Drosophila melanogaster: one gene and its partners. The protein of the gene in region 2 interacts with the protein of the main gene of each other region in a pairwise test. Each region holds a gene or a part of one and is shown on either strand. Other genes may lie near its edges.

Region 1 (5,439 bases), on a different chromosome or scaffold from region 2:
TACATGGTGGTTTTTATTATCCAGTTCTGCGTGGCAATCACCGAGCTAATGGAATTTAGCTTCTTCTTGTATATTTCCGGTTGCCGGAACTCTATACCAATTTCGCTAGCCACGGCACTGTAGCTGCCCGGCGTGATGGAGTACTTGGAGAGCGCCTTGCTGATCGGGTGCCGACGCCAGTTTTCCTGGTGCCAGTTGAAGATCAGAGCGGGCATCGCCAGAACGGCCAACACACTGAACCGCTGGGCGGTTTTCCACGTAAGCGTTTTAAACGCTACCGCTTCCTGGGGCATGGGGAAATCCGGGTCCAGGTCGAAGTCCTCCAAGGGCTCCTGCGTGGCGAAGACGGAGAACTTGAGCCTATGAATAAGAAAGTAGGAGAAGGGCAGACAGGAGTGCACGAAGAGATTCAGCGAAGTACGGCGCTGGTGGTAGCCTACAAAGTCCAGGTACTCTTCTCCCAGGAACCGAGCGAACAACTGTTCAATGGTGAATCCCAGGCGTTGGAACTCCTCTGGCGGGTAGATGATCACCATGCACAACAGAATATAAAACAGATTGAATAGCAGCTCCGACTCGTCCATGTTGCGAATAATTTCGGATTTTGTTTGGCTCAGTGGTTTCGTCGAACACTAGAGGTGTCCAACAAATTCCCGATTATTGTTCTTAAGATATCGATATTATGAATGGTACGCGATAGCACGGGACCAATATCGTACCGCGCCCGCCATAGCAAATGAGAATTTAAATAAAAACAAGGTGCGAGACATTTTTAATTGTCAGCAGTTTGAAGATCGACTATTCTGCGTGCCACGGGCACGGGGCATTAGAGCAAATGTGGAGTAATACTGTTTGCTGTTTCGAACAACAAAAATAAAACAATTAAAATCAAAAATTTGCAGTTATACGGAAAAGGCAATGGACATGTCATCCGAGGAGAAAGGTAAGTGTACATTTTGGAACGGACAACAGTGTATTAATTTAGTAACTAAACGAAACTAACCTGTGCACATAAATAAAATAGTACAAAAATTACATACAAAATGCATTCGTTCATTTGAAAAACCTAAAGTTTTTTCACCGAGAAAAAACAGTCGCCTTAAACTCTTGAACTTACAGCCCTGAAAAAGGCTTTGACTTAAGCGGTCATGTGGTATATTATCAGTATGAACGTCGAGAAAAACAGACAATGTTTTCAAAAATATTTTATTTGTATTTAGCCATTATATCGTACTTGTGAAATATTTTAGGCAACAATCAATTAATAACGAAAAATGTCATAAGATCGCAGTTTGTCCCAAGACAAAACTGTCACAGAAACCCATTATGCGTTTAAGGAAATTTATACTAGAAAATGAAGGAGTATTTCGTAAGTATACAAAATTTGTTAAATTTTGGTATTGGGTTATGGCTTTCTTGAAACGGAAATATTTGATATTGCCGTACTTGTCATGTACTGTCACGATTACAGACGTGATATGAACAAATCGTGCACTGAATCTTAGATTCTAGTTGGACCTCATGCATAACATAAGAAGGTCCACACCCAGCTGCCAAATGAATACATCTGGGTTGCATAAGTTATCGAACGGAATGTCATCTCCGCCGATGGTCGGTGCTTTTATCTATTGCTGCAGCTCACTCAAGTCTGGAATGTTGCAAGCGTAATCGTCGTTTGAGGTGGAGCTGGAGTCGTTGGTTAGCTCAAAGCTGTTATCACCACTGGTGCCAGTAACCGTTGTCAGGCTGGAGTCATTGTTTGAGCTCTGCTGCTCTGAGTTACTCAGATTTGGCAAGAAGGCATCTGGGTACTCTTCCTCTCCATCCTCCTCACCATCGTTATCATCGTCATCATCTTTGCTCAAGCTGCTGGAGCTGCTTCTGCTCTCAGGACGCAAGGTCTCCCTGCTGCCTTTACTTATATTCAAGGCGCTTATCATTGGCAAGTTGTTTGAGCTCGCCGTTGATGTGGTAGCCGTTGAAGCTTTCGCTGGAGCGTGATTTGGTCGAGAGTTTACATCTCCAGAATTATCAATTAAAAGAGTGATTCGCGGAATGTTAGGCGGATCCGTTGAGCTAGTTCTGTTGCTTGGGTTGTCCGACACAGTTGCCCGCAAATCACCAGAGTTCGAAATGAGTATAGACAGATCGGGGATGTTCATCGGTCGTGGCTGCAGCACTGGCTCCTGAATTTGTTCGCTGGGATTGAGAATTGTCAGATTGGGCACATTCGGGATGGTCGTCGACGTAGTTCCGGTGCCTGTCAATGTTGCAAAGTTGGAGTTAGTAGTACTCCTTTGCTGTCGTCGAGGTGGCGCTATGGGAGGGGTGTTTCCTGACGGCTGGGGCACACTCTTGTCCCGCCTCACAATGTCTTTTTCAAAGTTGTCCAGGTTCAGGCCAACGCTACCTTGAGCGTCTGCCCCAAGAGTGGCAGTGCTTGACTGGTATTTGAGGCTCAGCCCCTCGTTGTCCACTTCCATTTCCTCTTCCAGCAGCTCAAGGCTTATGAGCGCACCGGGACCGTCAACAGGCCGGGCAGGGGTGGACTCTAGAGAAGTCAGTGGATACACTTTTTTTAGTTTTGTCAGTTTAAGGCAAACATAGTCATACTTGCCATTTAGGAAGTCTAGTGCCACAAAGTCTGCCGCACTGAAGAGCTCTGCCTGCACCAGAAGTTGGAGCAATACCCCAACCGTGGGCCGCTCGTTGAGCTTGCCAGAGGTCTTCCACTCGTCGATCATCATCTGCGACTTGCTTTGGTCCGGCGGTAGTCGGTTTGCAGCCTCGTCAATCTGGAACACGTCCTGCGCAGTGTACTTAAATCCCTTTTTGATTTCCGCCGGAAAATTCAAGCATCCGGCTCCGCTGCAGGCCTGCACATCCATGCCCTTGGGTATGATCGACATCAATTTGCGCCAGCATGAGTTCTCATCTAGTATTTTGGCAAGCCGGTAAATGTCATTGTCCTCAACGCGTCGCAGCTCCGTGTTGCGAGAATACTTCGAGGATAAACCTATGGCGCCGTTGCTTCCGTTCACCTGCACGCCCATTCCGCATCCGTTCCAGCCATACGCCATGGTGTTCCCTTAGCTACCCAGGATAACCTTACGGGAAAGCCTTTGCCTGTGGCAGGTCGATGGTTCAAGTTCCCAGATGTCCAGTGCGATTGTATGAGATTTCCGCTATAAAACCATGTTTGCATCTATCTTCTCTCTCTATGTTTTTGCCAATGCCCACAGCTACTGCTCGCTGCTCGCAGTATTTCAGTGTGACCGAGGAGGACCGCAGCACCATATTAGATTCGTCATGTAATATTAGGGGGATTCCCGAAGCCGATTGGTATTGTGTGGTATTTCCGTATGCGGAAAATAGCTAGCCATTTGCAATACTGCACTAATTTTTAACGCAAAGTAAGAAAAAACCAAACTTTTTTTTTCATTAATGACATATTCCGGCGTTGTGAGCAATAAATGTAACCCCACCGATAGATGGCTTTCGTTTGTAATTGTAGAAGAATACCGGGTACCTGGTAGAAAGGAAATTCGAATAGACATTTACGTATACATATATATAAGTATTAAATATTCTTAATCAGTAAAAACAGACAAGTCGATATAGCCATGTCCGCCCGTTTTACGCGGGCGATGAAATAGCAGCAAAATAAATAATCGAAAAACCAAAAATAAACACTTAGTTCTTAGTTCTTTTTGATATTTTTGGACAATAATTAATTTTGATTTGTGATAGTTTCTGAGATCTCGACGTCCATAGGGACGGACATGGCCAGATCGATCCTGATCAAGACCTCTTCTACCTGCTACATATTTTTTAACTAGTCTGGTATACCCTTTTACTTCACGAGTATCGGGTATAAAATGCAGGAGTAGTATTACCAGGTGAACAAAAAGGGACATAAATATGGCCAACCGGGGCACACGTTCATAATTAATTCATAATTCATTATTCCAAGTAAAAAAATAGGGATATTGTTATTTTTAGTTCAGCAACATACTGGACCATATAATGGTATTCATATTTATTTTGTTGATAAAATTTTAGAAATTATTTTTTGATAAAAGTCTATAAAATGGACGGAATTGCATTTGTATCAATTAAGGGGCTTGCAAGAGAGCACGGATGGAATGTAGTTCTTTTTATAACTTCACTTACTCAAATATAAGGTCACTTCTTAGTATATGTATGTTCTTACTGCCTAAAGTTATGGATCTTAATTTGTGCTGCATTCATTGGCTTGTGTAAAGAAAGGTGCTAATGAGTAGCAATGTGCTTAAGATAAGAGCCGTATTGATATTGTGGCCATGTCGGGTATTTGCGCCGTTGCGCGTGGTCTTGCCCATCTGGAAGTGTAAAGTTGGACTGGACATGCGACCGTCTCCTCCATTGCTGTATGCGAGGACTCGCATGTTGTAACTCTTCCCTGGCGTCAGATTGTTGATGTACGACTCCAGTTTCTGTCCGATTGGCACTATGGTATTGTTGGCCGTAATCATGTTCTGGTCCGATTCCCAAATGCGAACCTAGAAAGTTTCAAACTGTAATCGATTTTCTTGGTCACGGTGCCGGGAGTTGTACCTTATAACCCTCTACTGGTTCCTCGTCTTGCGAAGGTGAAACATATCTCCAAACAACCCGCACGGTAGACGGGTTTATTCCATACACGTGAACCGAAGATGGCGGCTTTTGCGGGGCCTTTCTATATGTTCGTTCTAAAAAGCATGGTGTTTAAGCATTTTCTTTAAATGGTTTTTTAAACTGTTCGTTACACACCTTCAAAGCGTTCGCTTTCAGGTCCTTCACCTGCAGCATTGTAAGCCATGACTTTAACAAAGTAGTAAGTATCTGGTTGTAGACCTACGATAAGCGCCCAATTCCTTGTAGTACGTGACAGGTAGTATACCGAGTCTTCTTCCTGGTGCGTCGTTTTCCAATACTTCAACTGGTGAAAGATAAGGGTTTTTGACAATGCAATGGAATTAAGTGCAGTAACCATACCCTGTGGCCAATGAGTTTGCCACGAATGTTTTCACGGGACATGTCTATAGGTTGCCAAGTGACATTAAAGCATGTGGAGTTGTAGGCGAGCGCAATGGGCTTTTGAGGAGCCACCTGTGGCATGTCCTCAGCGGAGTGTATGACAGCTATTTCACTCTCCGGTCCCTTGCCAACACTGTTAATGGCTTGGACTTTGACTTCGTACTCCGTATAGTAGTTATTAAGAGGAATATTAACCACAGCCACGCCCATGTGATCCTGTTTTTTTATTTCGTCAGATGCCCATTCAATGGCTCCCTTGAGCTTCCAAAACACTTTATAGTGTATGCCGTGGCTATGCTGCTCTTGCGGTAGAAGCGGATCCCAGGTGATAGTTAGGTCGCCAATCTTTCCACCTCCACCACCCACGTTCCTCGGGGCTAT
Region 2 (6,791 bases):
GCCAACCGCATCTTCTATCTGGCCCTGCCGCCCAGCGTCTTCGAGGAGGTGACTGTCAACATCAAGCAGATCTGCATGTCGGTCTGGTGAGTATAAGATCAAGATCAAGATCCAGATGCATTTAATTTGAAACCCGATACTTATGTACACCTATAACCCGTTCGCTTGCAGCGGTTGGAACCGCGTGATTATCGAGAAGCCTTTCGGCCGGGATGACGCCTCCTCGCAGGCGCTGAGCGACCATCTGGCCGGTCTGTTCCAGGAGGATCAGCTGTACCGCATCGATCACTACCTGGGCAAGGAGATGGTGCAGAACCTGATGACCATACGCTTCGGCAACAAGATCCTCAGCTCGACGTGGAACCGCGAGAACATCGCCTCCGTGCTGATCACGTTCAAGGAGCCCTTCGGCACGCAGGGTCGTGGCGGCTACTTCGACGAGTTCGGCATCATACGCGACGTGATGCAGAACCATCTGCTGCAGATCCTCTCGCTGGTGGCCATGGAGAAGCCGGTGAGCTGCCACCCGGACGACATTCGTGACGAGAAGGTCAAGGTGCTGAAGAGCATCGAGGCCCTGACGCTGGATGACATGGTGCTGGGCCAGTACCTGGGCAATCCGCAGGGTACAAACGATGATGCGCGCACGGGCTACGTGGAGGACCCCACCGTTAGCAACGATTCGAACACGCCCACCTACGCCCTCGGCGTGCTCAAGATCAACAACGAGCGCTGGCAGGGAGTGCCCTTCATCCTGCGCTGCGGCAAGGCGCTGAACGAGCGCAAGGCGGAGGTGCGTATCCAGTACCAGGACGTGCCCGGCGACATCTTCGAGGGCAATACGAAGCGCAACGAGCTGGTCATCCGCGTCCAGCCGGGCGAGGCCCTGTACTTTAAGATGATGACCAAGAGCCCCGGCATCACGTTCGACATCGAGGAGACGGAGCTGGACCTCACCTACGAGCACCGCTACAAGGACTCCTACCTGCCGGACGCGTACGAGCGTCTCATCCTCGACGTCTTCTGCGGCTCCCAGATGCACTTCGTCCGCTCGGACGAGCTGCGCGAGGCGTGGCGCATATTTACGCCCATTCTGCACCAGATCGAGAAGGAGCACATTCGGCCAATCACCTACCAGTACGGATCGCGCGGTCCCAAGGAGGCGGACCGCAAGTGCGAGGAGAACAATTTCAAGTACTCCGGCTCCTACAAGTGGCACGGCGGCAAGGCGGCCACGTCCAATCACTGAGCGTTTGGAGCACACCAATCCCCGGGCTGGGTTCGCAGGATACTCCTCTCTGTCCGCACGTACATGTACATACATACATATATATGTATATATACATATATGCATTCTTTGGTTATTTGTAATTCGGTCTGTACAAGATTTTTTTTTATTAAATATACAAAATAGTGTTTAGCTGGAGCAGAACGATCTTCTAACTCATAATCCCGGCTAGTTCGATGTGTATGTGGTGATGCCGATCGCATGCGTGTCGATGTACATAAATAGATCCTTCATAGGATGGCAGATGGGTGGCAAACGTAACCCTACGGTTGTAATACTAACTAAATAATGAGTATGCTTCTGGTCAGTGGGCTTCGGTGCTGAGCCGGGCTAGTTACTAGCGGCTCCTCTCGAATATAGATTTACAGGCGAACTACAACAAGAGCGGGCAGCAATCTTCCCGAGAGATTTCAGCGCACGGGTGGCGGCTTGATGTACCCATCGCCGCAGGGCGCGCCTATTGCGCTCATGGACACATACTGATTGGTTACGTACGCATCGGCCTGGGGCACGGGCTGTGGTCTGGGCACCTCCTGCAGCTCTATCTCCGGCCACCTCGTGGGCTCCTCTTCCGCAAATGTCACGGTTTTGCGCACTGTGCCGTAGAACTTCTCCGGCGGAACATTGGCGGGATAGAACAGGCGTACATCGCCAAGTGGATTTGCTGTGGGCTCTTCGCTCATCACTGGCAGTTCAACCCGGATGTCCGCCATTTGGCGCAGCTTCTGAATGGCCAAGACGAGCGACCCAAGCACCAGCAGAGCGATGGTGCCCTCCACGTACCGCAAGATCTTTGGCTTCTCGGGCACCTCGCTGTCACCGGACCACCAGCGCATCCCGGTGGTCAGGCCGTCGCTGTAGTTGGCCGCCACAGCCATCCGGATCACGCCCTGGATTCCGGAGAAATTGTACGCCGTCTCGCGGGCGTAGGTCGTCTCGATGGAGGAACTATCGTCGCAGGCATCGTGCACTTTGCTGGATAGCTTGCACCAATAGACTATGTAGCCAGTGAAGTTTCCCAGCTCCTCCGGCCCTTGCCAGCTGAGTCTGGAGCTCGTCTTATTGTAGCTCTCCAGGTAAATCCGTCGATCCCGGATGTCGCTCAGTCTGGGCACCTCCAGCTGGCTGCTCTCCAGCGATCGACCGACGACATTGCTGCTCCACACAGACACTGTGGCCGGTTGCGTGTCATCCCAGTCGGTGAAGATCGCGAGCATGCTGCCCTGGGTGGTGGCCACTTTGGTTCTGAAATGAAAAGCATTTAGTCTTTCCTGCTGGCTAGTTTATTGTAAATAATATTATCGGTAGTGACGAAACCCGCCTAGAAATAACTGGGATGAACATATAACTTTCAATACTGGAGCAAAATGAACTAATTTAATCCTTTAGGATTATTTCGATTATTATTTTAACCCAATTTAAGTTGAAGATCACTAGAAACTGCTTTATTTACCAAGAACACAACTACGAAACTACTACTTTAGAGTGGGCGTGGCAAGAAGTTTGTGGCAAATAGAAATTTACAATACGATAGAAATTTACAAGACTAAAAAAATTTTGAAAAAATATCAACACATTTTTGAAAAGTGTGGGAGTGGCAGTTCTGAACGATTTGTGGGCAAACATGCGCTGCTATCTATTTCACTAGAATCTGTATGCTTAATCTTCTAGCTTTAACTTCTAGCTTTTATAGTTCCTGAGTTGGAGATTGCCAGATCGACTCGGTTATTGATCCTGAACAAGAATATATATACTTTATGTGGTTGGAAACGCTTCCTTCTGCTTTTTACATACGTATTCAACGAATCTAGAATACCCTTTTTGCTCTACCAGTAACGGGTATAAAACGAGGTATATATCGAGCATTCTAAACATATTTCGGCATATGCTAATGGCAAAAAAATACATAGTTCCACTTTTGGGAGGTTCAAATCTGTCAGGTGACCTAAATAAGTTGTGAAATAAGTCCTTGTTTTGCCCATCAATACTATAAAATGCTATAAAGTGCCGAAAGTTCTTCAAATCGGATACATGCATTAAAAAGTTATGAGCGAGCCTTTTTGCAAACGTAACGCACGACTTGCCGTATGTAAGGTAATGGGTATCTGATAGTCGAATTCGCGGAGATCTCTTGTTGTATGTAAATAGGGCGCTTAATGTGCCAAAGATTCTAAAATGATTTACTAGGCTTTCGGTTTTTAAAGCTCAATATGTTTTTGAAAAACTCTTTTTAGGTCTCGATGGTAATCTCATGGTAATCTAGTGCATGTAGTGCTTACCCGTACCTAGTGCTCGCCACGTATGTCTGCTCGGCTCCATTGAACTCCAGCTCGTCCAGCGGCAACCAGTAGACTTTGAGCTCCCTTTTAGCACGGTCGTGGGAGAAGCCATTGGCCAGGAACCGTGGCGGACGGGCGGGCAAGGATGCATTCGTGGTGAGTTCGAACTCGGGGTACCTTTCCGACCAGGGGGATCCATGGAGACGACGGCTTAGGCTAACATAGAACAACTGATTGCCCTCCGGTGGATTTCCAAAGCAGACCTGGTCGAAAACACTGACAGCTCGCATCTGCGAAACGGTGAGATTCCTCGACAAGTTGGGCAGCTTGGAGTGGCGGAACTGCACGTTCAGTTCAAACGTTCGATTCGGGTAAATGAAGGGTCCGTTCCACTCCAGACAAGTCTGGTTGGGCGTTTGTATCATGTTGTGCTTGCCGCGTGGCCATTCCAGCACCTCCATTTCGGCTTGCGTTAGCCTCAGCACCTTGCTCTGGTTGCCCAAGTCGTCGCTCATGATCAGCCTGAAATCCCTCCATTCCGGTGCACGGCTGTTCGGATCAATGGGCACGGAGCACTCCACTTTGCCCCTGCTGCGTTCGTCCTCCGACTTCCTGCAGTCGATTGGCTTGGCCCTGCCCATGGCCAGCTGGTAGTGGGTTTTGTTCTCGAAATTGCCGTTCTCCATGCGGCTGAAGGTGCACCTCAAGTAATAGACCACGTCGCGGCATACGAAATCCTTCAAATTCAGCAGGGCATAGACTCGGACGCACACATGACTCTGGATGACGCCATCCAGAAGGCACTCATACCTTCGTTCCCACTCGTTGGCTGGATTTGCATCCACGTGCACCACGGTGCCGTTGTACGAGTCCGTTGATTCTATTGTGCCCTGCCTTCGCACAGACATCTTCCTACCCTCACCACCGTCACATTTGCAGGACACCTTGCCGATGGTGCCGGAACGCCAGCTAGGTCCGCCGAGGGACTGCATCTCGCAGTTCGCCTGCGGCATATGCAACGCATTCTCCGCCAGCGCACGGGCCATGAGCGTCGCCAGCAATGTCAGCGAAAGCAGGCGGCTTATACGCGTCCTCCAGCCCATGGGTGCTCCTTTCTCCGCAGTGACTCCTAATCGCAACTTCCGATGCTTCTAAAGCTAGGCGCTGGAATTAGAAATTGGATACAGCCCGATTACGGAACTATGTATGTACATATTTCAAACATCCACTCGACGAGGAGAAAGCAAATGAGTTGAGTGCAAAATGCATGGGCATGCTGATAAGACCGCAAGACTTTACGATCTTGAATCCGTGGTGGTGTCCAGTGTGGAGGCAAGCGTACCTCCAGCTCGTGGGATCCGACTGCTCGAGAGCGATCTGTGCGACTGAGCTCAATCGCGAGACCCAAACGCCAGCTTGGATGGAGCATATCGATAGGGACAGCCAGGCGCGCATATACGTCCATATATGTATATATGAACAAGTATATGTATGTATGTATGTATAGCTAACTTATCGCCAAAGCTCGCGAGAGAATCAAAAAGCCAATTTGAAATCTTATTTAAAATTAGCTTTATATTGAAATACAGCGATGTGCGTATTGTGTAAATAGGGTATTAATAGTATAAGCTCGATCCGCTCGACGCGTGGATGGTTAAGTGGGTAAGTAAGTGTACAGTACGAATATATATAAAAAAATACTATTGCGTTACAAATACTTTCTGCCTCACACGCATCGCAAAGAATACAAAATAAATTACAAACGTAAAACTACATTCGTCCGAGGAGTTTTCACTAATTACTATAAACAGCTGCCCGACAGTGGTTTCTAGTTTCCAGATTCCAGATTCTAGTTTACAGGTTCTGGGTTCTGGGTTCCTCGTCCTGGATTTTGGTTGCTGGGGCGATCCGGTGACCAGATCATGGCGTTGGAAGGATATGCGGCTGAAGATGAGTTGATGAATTATCGATGCGAACGCGAGGAAACGATAAAATGATGCACACCCGTGCATAAATGATGAGCGCTCCGGTATCTTAGAGGACGTGCCGATTGTGGGCCATGGCGTTCAGATCCTGCGGCGTTACGTAGCCATTGATTTGCGGCTGGAGGCGAGAGTGCTGGTTGCCGCCTCCCGGCGCCCCACCAGCGGCGTGCGTCGGCGATCCCACGGTGGCGGCCAGAGGTGGCTTTATCAGCCCAGTGAGCTGCAACTGCTCCATGGTGGTATAGCCGATGTCAGCCATTTTGGGCGTGGCGGCAGCTGGACTTGCGGCGTGAACCGGCGGTAGCTGTAGCGGTGGCGAAGTTGCTGGCGAAGATCCCGCAAAGGCTGGTCCTCCGGTTTGCGACAACGGAGCTGCGACGAGCGGCTTCAGCTTGTGCAGATCCGAGGCCTGCACGTAGTTGTCCATGTTGAGCAAGTGGGCCGGTGGGAAAAAGGTCGACGCAGCGGCTGCGGTGGCGGCGGAAGGTACTGCTGGCGACCCAAACGGTTGAACTGGAGCCGGATTGAACCGAGATTGTGGAATGGGAACGGGCACGTAGCCGCTGAGCGGAATCTGGGACAGCGGCTGGGACATCGGAGCGGTCATTGCAGTCGAAGGAACTGAGAACGTGTGATCATTATCCGAGGGACCGTTGCCGCCCCAGCTCTTCATCTGTGTGGGCTTGATGTAACCATTGGTGCAACTCTGCTCCCGATCCATTTCGCTCTCGCGCTGCTGTTGCTGCTGCTCCCGCTCCCTCTCCTGCTCACGATCCCTCTCCCTCTCGCGCTCCCTGTCGTTCTGGACGAGAAGGCCATGCCGCATGGCCAGGTAGCTGGTGGGCGGACCAACTGCGCTAATTGGCCCTGTCTCGTGATTGTCATCGTATCCATCGCGATCCACGCAGCCGCCGCCACCAGAGGAGGACGCTGTGCGCAGCAGCAGTTTCGAGCTCTCACTGCCGCAGCTACTGAAGTCGTGCGGCAGATCCTGCGGCGTGTATGGCGGCGAGTCGTCCACCCGTGTGCACACGATGCCTCCGCTGACGGACGAGTCTGGACCCAGGCCCAATCCCAGGCCACCCATGTCTATGGGCTTCTTCATGGTCTCCATGATTCCCTGCGGCAGCACTAGACCGATATCGGACATCTTGCGGTATTTCTTGTACACGAGGTAGAAGATGACGCCCAGCACGAGAATCGCCACGGTCACCTCAATGGTCTGGTACATGGCCTTCA
Region 3 (5,212 bases), on a different chromosome or scaffold from region 2:
TGCAAGCGCTTTGGAGTCAAGAGTGTAATGTTTTGGGGTGTCTTTGTATCTGGTGTCTGCAGTGCATTGACCCCGCTCTTCATCGGTTTTGGCGGATGGCAGGCCTACTGCGGAATTCGCGTGGTTATGGGCTTGGCACAGGGACTAGTTTTTCCCTGTATTCATCACCATTTGGCCAAATGGTCACCTCCGGCGGAACGAAATCGGTTGGGAGCTCTTAGTCACACTGGGATGGAGTGCGGCAATGTAAGTGCCATGTTCTTGAGCGGAATGATAGCCAAAAGTGCCATTGGTTGGCCAGGAATATCATATGTCTCCGCAGGATTAGCCTTCGCCTGGTGTGCCATTTGGTTCGTTTTTGCCGCTGACAATGCAGTGGAATCTCGTTACATAACCCAGGAAGAACTCCACTATATCGAATCGTCTCTGAAGCACAATGAGGACTATCACAAGACCGTAATTCCCGTACCATGGATGGCGATTTGGACCTCGGCACCATTTCTTGCTCTTACGCTGACGCGTTGTTGCGCGACCTGGGGTCTGAGCACCCTCCAGGCCCAAATCCCAACTTATATGAACGGAGTTCTGGATATGGACATGAAAAGCAATGCATTCTTTTCGGCATTACCATTTCTGGCCATGTGGATTATGTCGTATGTGTACCTGATAATCGCCGATGTTCTGCTCGCCGGAAACAGGCTGAGTTTAACGGCCCTCCGGAAGACCTTCAACTCGTTGGCCTTCTGGATTCCTTGTGCCACTTTGATTGGAATCGGATTCCTGGATCAGGAGCAGAAGAACCTGGCAATTGCTTTGATGACCATCAGTGTCGGTGTCAACAGTGGAGCAACAATCGGAAGCTCCTTGAACACCATAGATCTATCCCCGAATCATGCGAGTATTCTAATGGGAATCTTGAATACGGCTGTTACTGTAGTGCCTATAGTAACCCCTTTGATTGTTGGAGTTATTGTTCATGAAGACGTAAGTTTGCACTGTTAGTGTTTATAAACAGGGCAGTGATAAATAAGTATAAATAAGAAGACTTTCTGTTGATTGTTTCAGGATAACCGTGCTGAGTGGCAGATAGTGTTCATAATTGCGGCAGTACTTTTTTTTGTCGGAAACTCGGTGTACCTATACTTTGGAACGGCTGTTTCACAACCCTGGGATGCTGAAGACTACCTCACAGTAAAGGTGCCAGAGCTAGCTAAAGTTCCAGCTATCCATGAAGCTGGTAAAGGTATTGATGACCTTCCACGAAGTCCTTGAATTGAAGTTCTATCGATAGCACTTAAGTCTTCAGTTAACATAGAAACTATTTAAAACAACAAAGCAATCAAAATAATTTAGAGTATTATTATTAAATTTAATAAGATTTAAGATCTACATCAGTACATTTCATTTGTTTATTAAACGTATAAGTAAAACGATTTGTTTGAATTAAAATGTTTGAGCGTTATTTGCTTATCAAAAGTCGTCAAATTTACCAAAGGTGCGGCCATAAATCAATCCAATAATGGTATGGCAGTAACTACTCTTGATATTACCAATTGATTTTGGAACGCCACACGACCAGGCAATGCTGTTCTAAACAACCTCGTTTAACAGTAGAAAAGGAACTGCAGGTAGGATATTTTCGTCAAGATATCTAAAATTAACTATTAAAGGTGCAAAACCTTGGCTTCTTTCTTGACTAAGTAACCTGAAGGCCGAAATGCCCACCTATTCGAAAAAGGGTTCTCGATATGGCCATGAAAAAGCAATGCATTCTTTTTGGCGCTAACATTTTAGGCCATGTTGCTTATGTGGCATCTATCTTTTACCGAATCGTGCCAGAATCCTTACTAGAATTGTAGAAATGGATGAAAATAATGATTTATTGATTGATTTACAATATTCTGACTAATGACATAATAACTAGTTTGTAAAGTACAACAATTTTTTAATGACGCTTTTTAATTCAATGGTTAAATTCGCCCGCTGTATGACCTTATCACCTGACGTGTCGTATCAGATAAGCAACATTTGGCTTATCGTCTAATTCAATTTGGATTTAAATCCACTCTATGTTCGTGGTCTCACTCACTTAACTTCCCACAGTGATTCCGATCGGTCGTTTAAAAGAAGTCAGGAGGTGTTTTGTTGACCAAATCAAAAATGACGGCCGAGACAAACAAAGGTGCGTGAAAGGAAATCCTTCGGTTCGGATAAGAGTTTGTGAATGAATTGACACCCAACGAACTTGACACAGTGGAAAACCCCTTCATGGCTCAGACCTTGCACTCCGTCTGATTTCTGGGCTTTTCGCACACGCATTGAGTGGTCATAAATTACTACAATAATGGCGCGATAACCGAGTCTCAAGAGCAATTCAGACTTATTTACCCAACTGTTTGTAGACAGGAAGTAACAGTGATAATACCAGTTCGTTTTGTTATTGCAGGACCCGTTCTGGGAATGAGGCATGTCCAGGCGCTACTGATCTTCCTCAATATAACTACCGTATTCATAGGCCGCCTAAATGTGGGCGTGTCTGTGGTGGCAATGACCAATGCGGAAACCACGAACCCGAACTTTCCGGTAAGAATAGGGATCCTATCAAGAAAATACCACTTAGCTTACTAGATTCTCTACTAGGAATACGATTGGACGGAGGCAGAGAAGTCGTACATTCTCTCCAGTTTCTTTTGGGGCTACATCCTAACGCAATTCCTTGGAGGTTATCTCTGCAAGCGCTTTGGAGTCAAGAGTGTAATGTTTTGGGGTGTCTTCGGATCTGGTGTCTGCAGTGCTTTGACGCCGCTGTTCATCGGATTTGGAGAATGGCAGGCCTACTGTGGAATTCGAGTTCTAATGGGATTGGCCCAGGGAGTGGTATTCCCCTGCATTCATCAGCACCTGGCTAAATGGTCACCGCCCGAGGAAAGAAATCGGTTGGGAGCTCTGAGTCACACTGGAATCGAGTGCGGCAATGTGAGTGCCATGTTCCTGAGCGGAATGATAGCCAAGAGCTCCCTGGGATGGCCCGGAATCTCATATGTCTCGGCTGGAGTGGCCTTCTTCTGGTGTACATTATGGTTCGTCTTCGCTGCCAACCATCCTACGGAATCTCGTTTCATAGGAGAGAACGAACTGATCTATATTGAGTCGTCTCTAAAGCACAATGAGTCATACCACGCTACCATTATACCCATTCCCTGGAAGGCAATTTGGACGTCGGCACCATTCCTGGCCCTGCTCATAGTACGATGCGCTGAGAACTGGGGACTGAGCACTCTGCAGGCCGAGATCCCATCCTATATGAACGGAGTCCTCGACATGGACATGAAGAGCAATGCGTTCTTCTCGGCACTCCCATTCTTGGCCATGTGGTGCATGTCGTATATTTACCTAGTCGTAGCCGATGTGCTCTTGGGCAAGAACTCGGTGTCCTTGACGATTTTGAGAAAGACCTACAACTCCATTGCCTTCTGGATTCCTGCTGCCACTTTGGTGGGCATTGGCTTTTTGGACAAGGAACAAAAGAACTTCGCGATTGCTCTGATGACCATCAGTGTGGGCGTGAATAGTGCTCAAACCATTGGCAGTGTTTTAAACACAATTGATCTATCGAAAAATCACGCTAGCATTCTAATGGGAATTGTGAATACAGCGGCGAATTTCGTGCCCATAGTCACTCCTTTAGTTGTTGGATGGATTGTTAAGGAAAATGTGAGTGCTTGCAAAAGTTGGTAGGAAGTAAAGATTTTTAATTGCTTATTGTATCCTTTCCTTTCAGTCTGATCGCTCCCAATGGCAGATCGTGTTCATCATTGCCTCCGTAATCTTCTTTGTGGGCAATTGCATTTACTTGGTGTTTGGCACGGCCGAAACTCAGCCCTGGGATGCCGAGGACTATCTGCAGACACAGAACCCGGAACTTGCCAATAGACCACCTATGCAGGCGTTATCCTTTCCAATTAACGAAAATTCCAAAGAGAAAATTAATAGTAAAAGCCATTAATTCTTAACCCATTTAACGCATTTATTTTTTAGACTAGTCTGGATAACCAAATTTACATTTTAGCATTTGGTTTTTATTTGTTCACTTTAGTGGTCTAAAAATCATAACTTGGTAGAGAGATAGCAAACGATTCTTTTATCTATAACTGACACTCAAATTGAGTTATTCTTGATATTTTGAAAATGCCATTGAGGGCGACATCACTAAATATTTTTAATTACAAGTCCGCAGTCTCAAGAGCTAGTCAGCTATTATTGTTTTGATTGCTCGAAAATATAGACATATTCTTGTGTTTAAAATTCCCTTAGTTACCGTCGCTAGTAGACTGAATTATAGAGCATTTAGTTCTGCAGTTCATTTTTAAGATGCCGTTTGCGAAGACCTAAAAATATTATCTTACGTACAACGATCTCGTCATTGCACTTCTCGCCATATGATTTGTGATAAAAAAAATTGGCAATGCCCACAGTATCACTAAATGGTACACACCTTTATGGTTTCTTTGGAACAAAAATTTAAGGCGCGACCTATAACTTTAGTAAGTGACTCATCGTTCGAAATGAAGGAAAACCCAGTTTCCAATTTCTTCCACCAAGATTTGTGAGAACCTTTCAAAGCTCTGTTATCCCTGAGCAGATAACTAAAGCTCTGCTGGTAATCTCAAATGGAGCCTACTTAGCTTTGGCTCATAACACACTCAAGCAAGGGGAATCACTCGAGATTGTAATGGCCAGGCGAGGAATTGGCTGAGATTAGAGTTTTCTTTAAATTCATAAAGTTCAATAAATTGACATTATAAACATTATAAATACTTTGGCCGTGTGGCTCGGTACAGTATCGATTAGTTGATTATTTATTTAACTGGTAGCATCGCTTATCAGTTGCGTTCCATTGTTTCGACCAGATTGCGGCCATAAAGAATACTATGCCAAAAAATAAATAAACTCATTCATTTATGGCGGCTCTTTCGGTTGCTGGTGCTGAGCACAGTTGTATTAAGCTTTCAGGGGATCGGATTTAATTTTTCTACGGCTTCAGGCCTGGCGAGCAAAAACTTTTGTTGATAATCGTGCCATAAATCTTTCGGGCAAATAAACACGTCTCTGGCCAAAGTTGAGTGTTGGGTGGGTGTGCTTATTTTCTAGCCACCACTTTGTGTAAATCCATCAATATTTGCCGATAATACGTAGAAACATATGCATATGC

Evidence for each region.
Region 1: the proteins of et (region 2) and tub interact in a two-hybrid assay, tested with the Drosophila melanogaster proteins (one large-scale study listed by BioGRID).
Region 3: the proteins of et (region 2) and CG9825 interact in a two-hybrid assay, tested with the Drosophila melanogaster proteins (one large-scale study listed by BioGRID).

Annotation. Positions count from the first base shown.
Region 1 is NT_033777.3:4,385,571-4,391,009, reverse strand, and holds tub (tube), read right to left. Parts: upstream 3,269-5,439; 5' UTR 3,081-3,268; coding exon 2,618-3,080; intron 2,552-2,617; coding exon 1,626-2,551; 3' UTR 1,197-1,625; downstream 1-1,196. Other genes in the region: CG14646 (uncharacterized protein), read right to left, coding at 1-584; Cont (contactin), read right to left, coding at 4,248-4,541, 4,597-4,730, 4,792-4,960, 5,017-5,439. UniProt on the Drosophila melanogaster protein: Plays an essential role in the Tl receptor signaling pathway that establishes embryonic dorsoventral polarity; the signal directs import of dl into ventral and ventrolateral nuclei, thereby establishing dorsoventral polarity.
Region 2 is NC_004354.4:19,670,938-19,677,728, forward strand, and holds et (eye transformer), read right to left. Parts: upstream 4,955-6,791; 5' UTR 4,910-4,954; exon of another isoform or gene 4,867-4,909; intron 4,732-4,866; 5' UTR 4,671-4,731; coding exon 3,568-4,670; intron 2,534-3,567; coding exon 1,699-2,533; 3' UTR 1,375-1,698; downstream 1-1,374. Other genes in the region: Zw (zwischenferment), read left to right, coding at 1-86, 172-1,249; dome (domeless), read right to left, coding at 5,602-6,791.
Region 3 is NT_033778.4:22,835,276-22,840,487, forward strand, and holds CG9825 (uncharacterized protein), read left to right. Parts: upstream 1-2,085; 5' UTR 2,086-2,160; coding exon 2,161-2,182; intron 2,183-2,446; coding exon 2,447-2,583; intron 2,584-2,640; coding exon 2,641-3,714; intron 3,715-3,781; coding exon 3,782-4,006; 3' UTR 4,007-4,016; downstream 4,017-5,212. Other genes in the region: CG12490 (uncharacterized protein), read left to right, coding at 1-984, 1,066-1,272.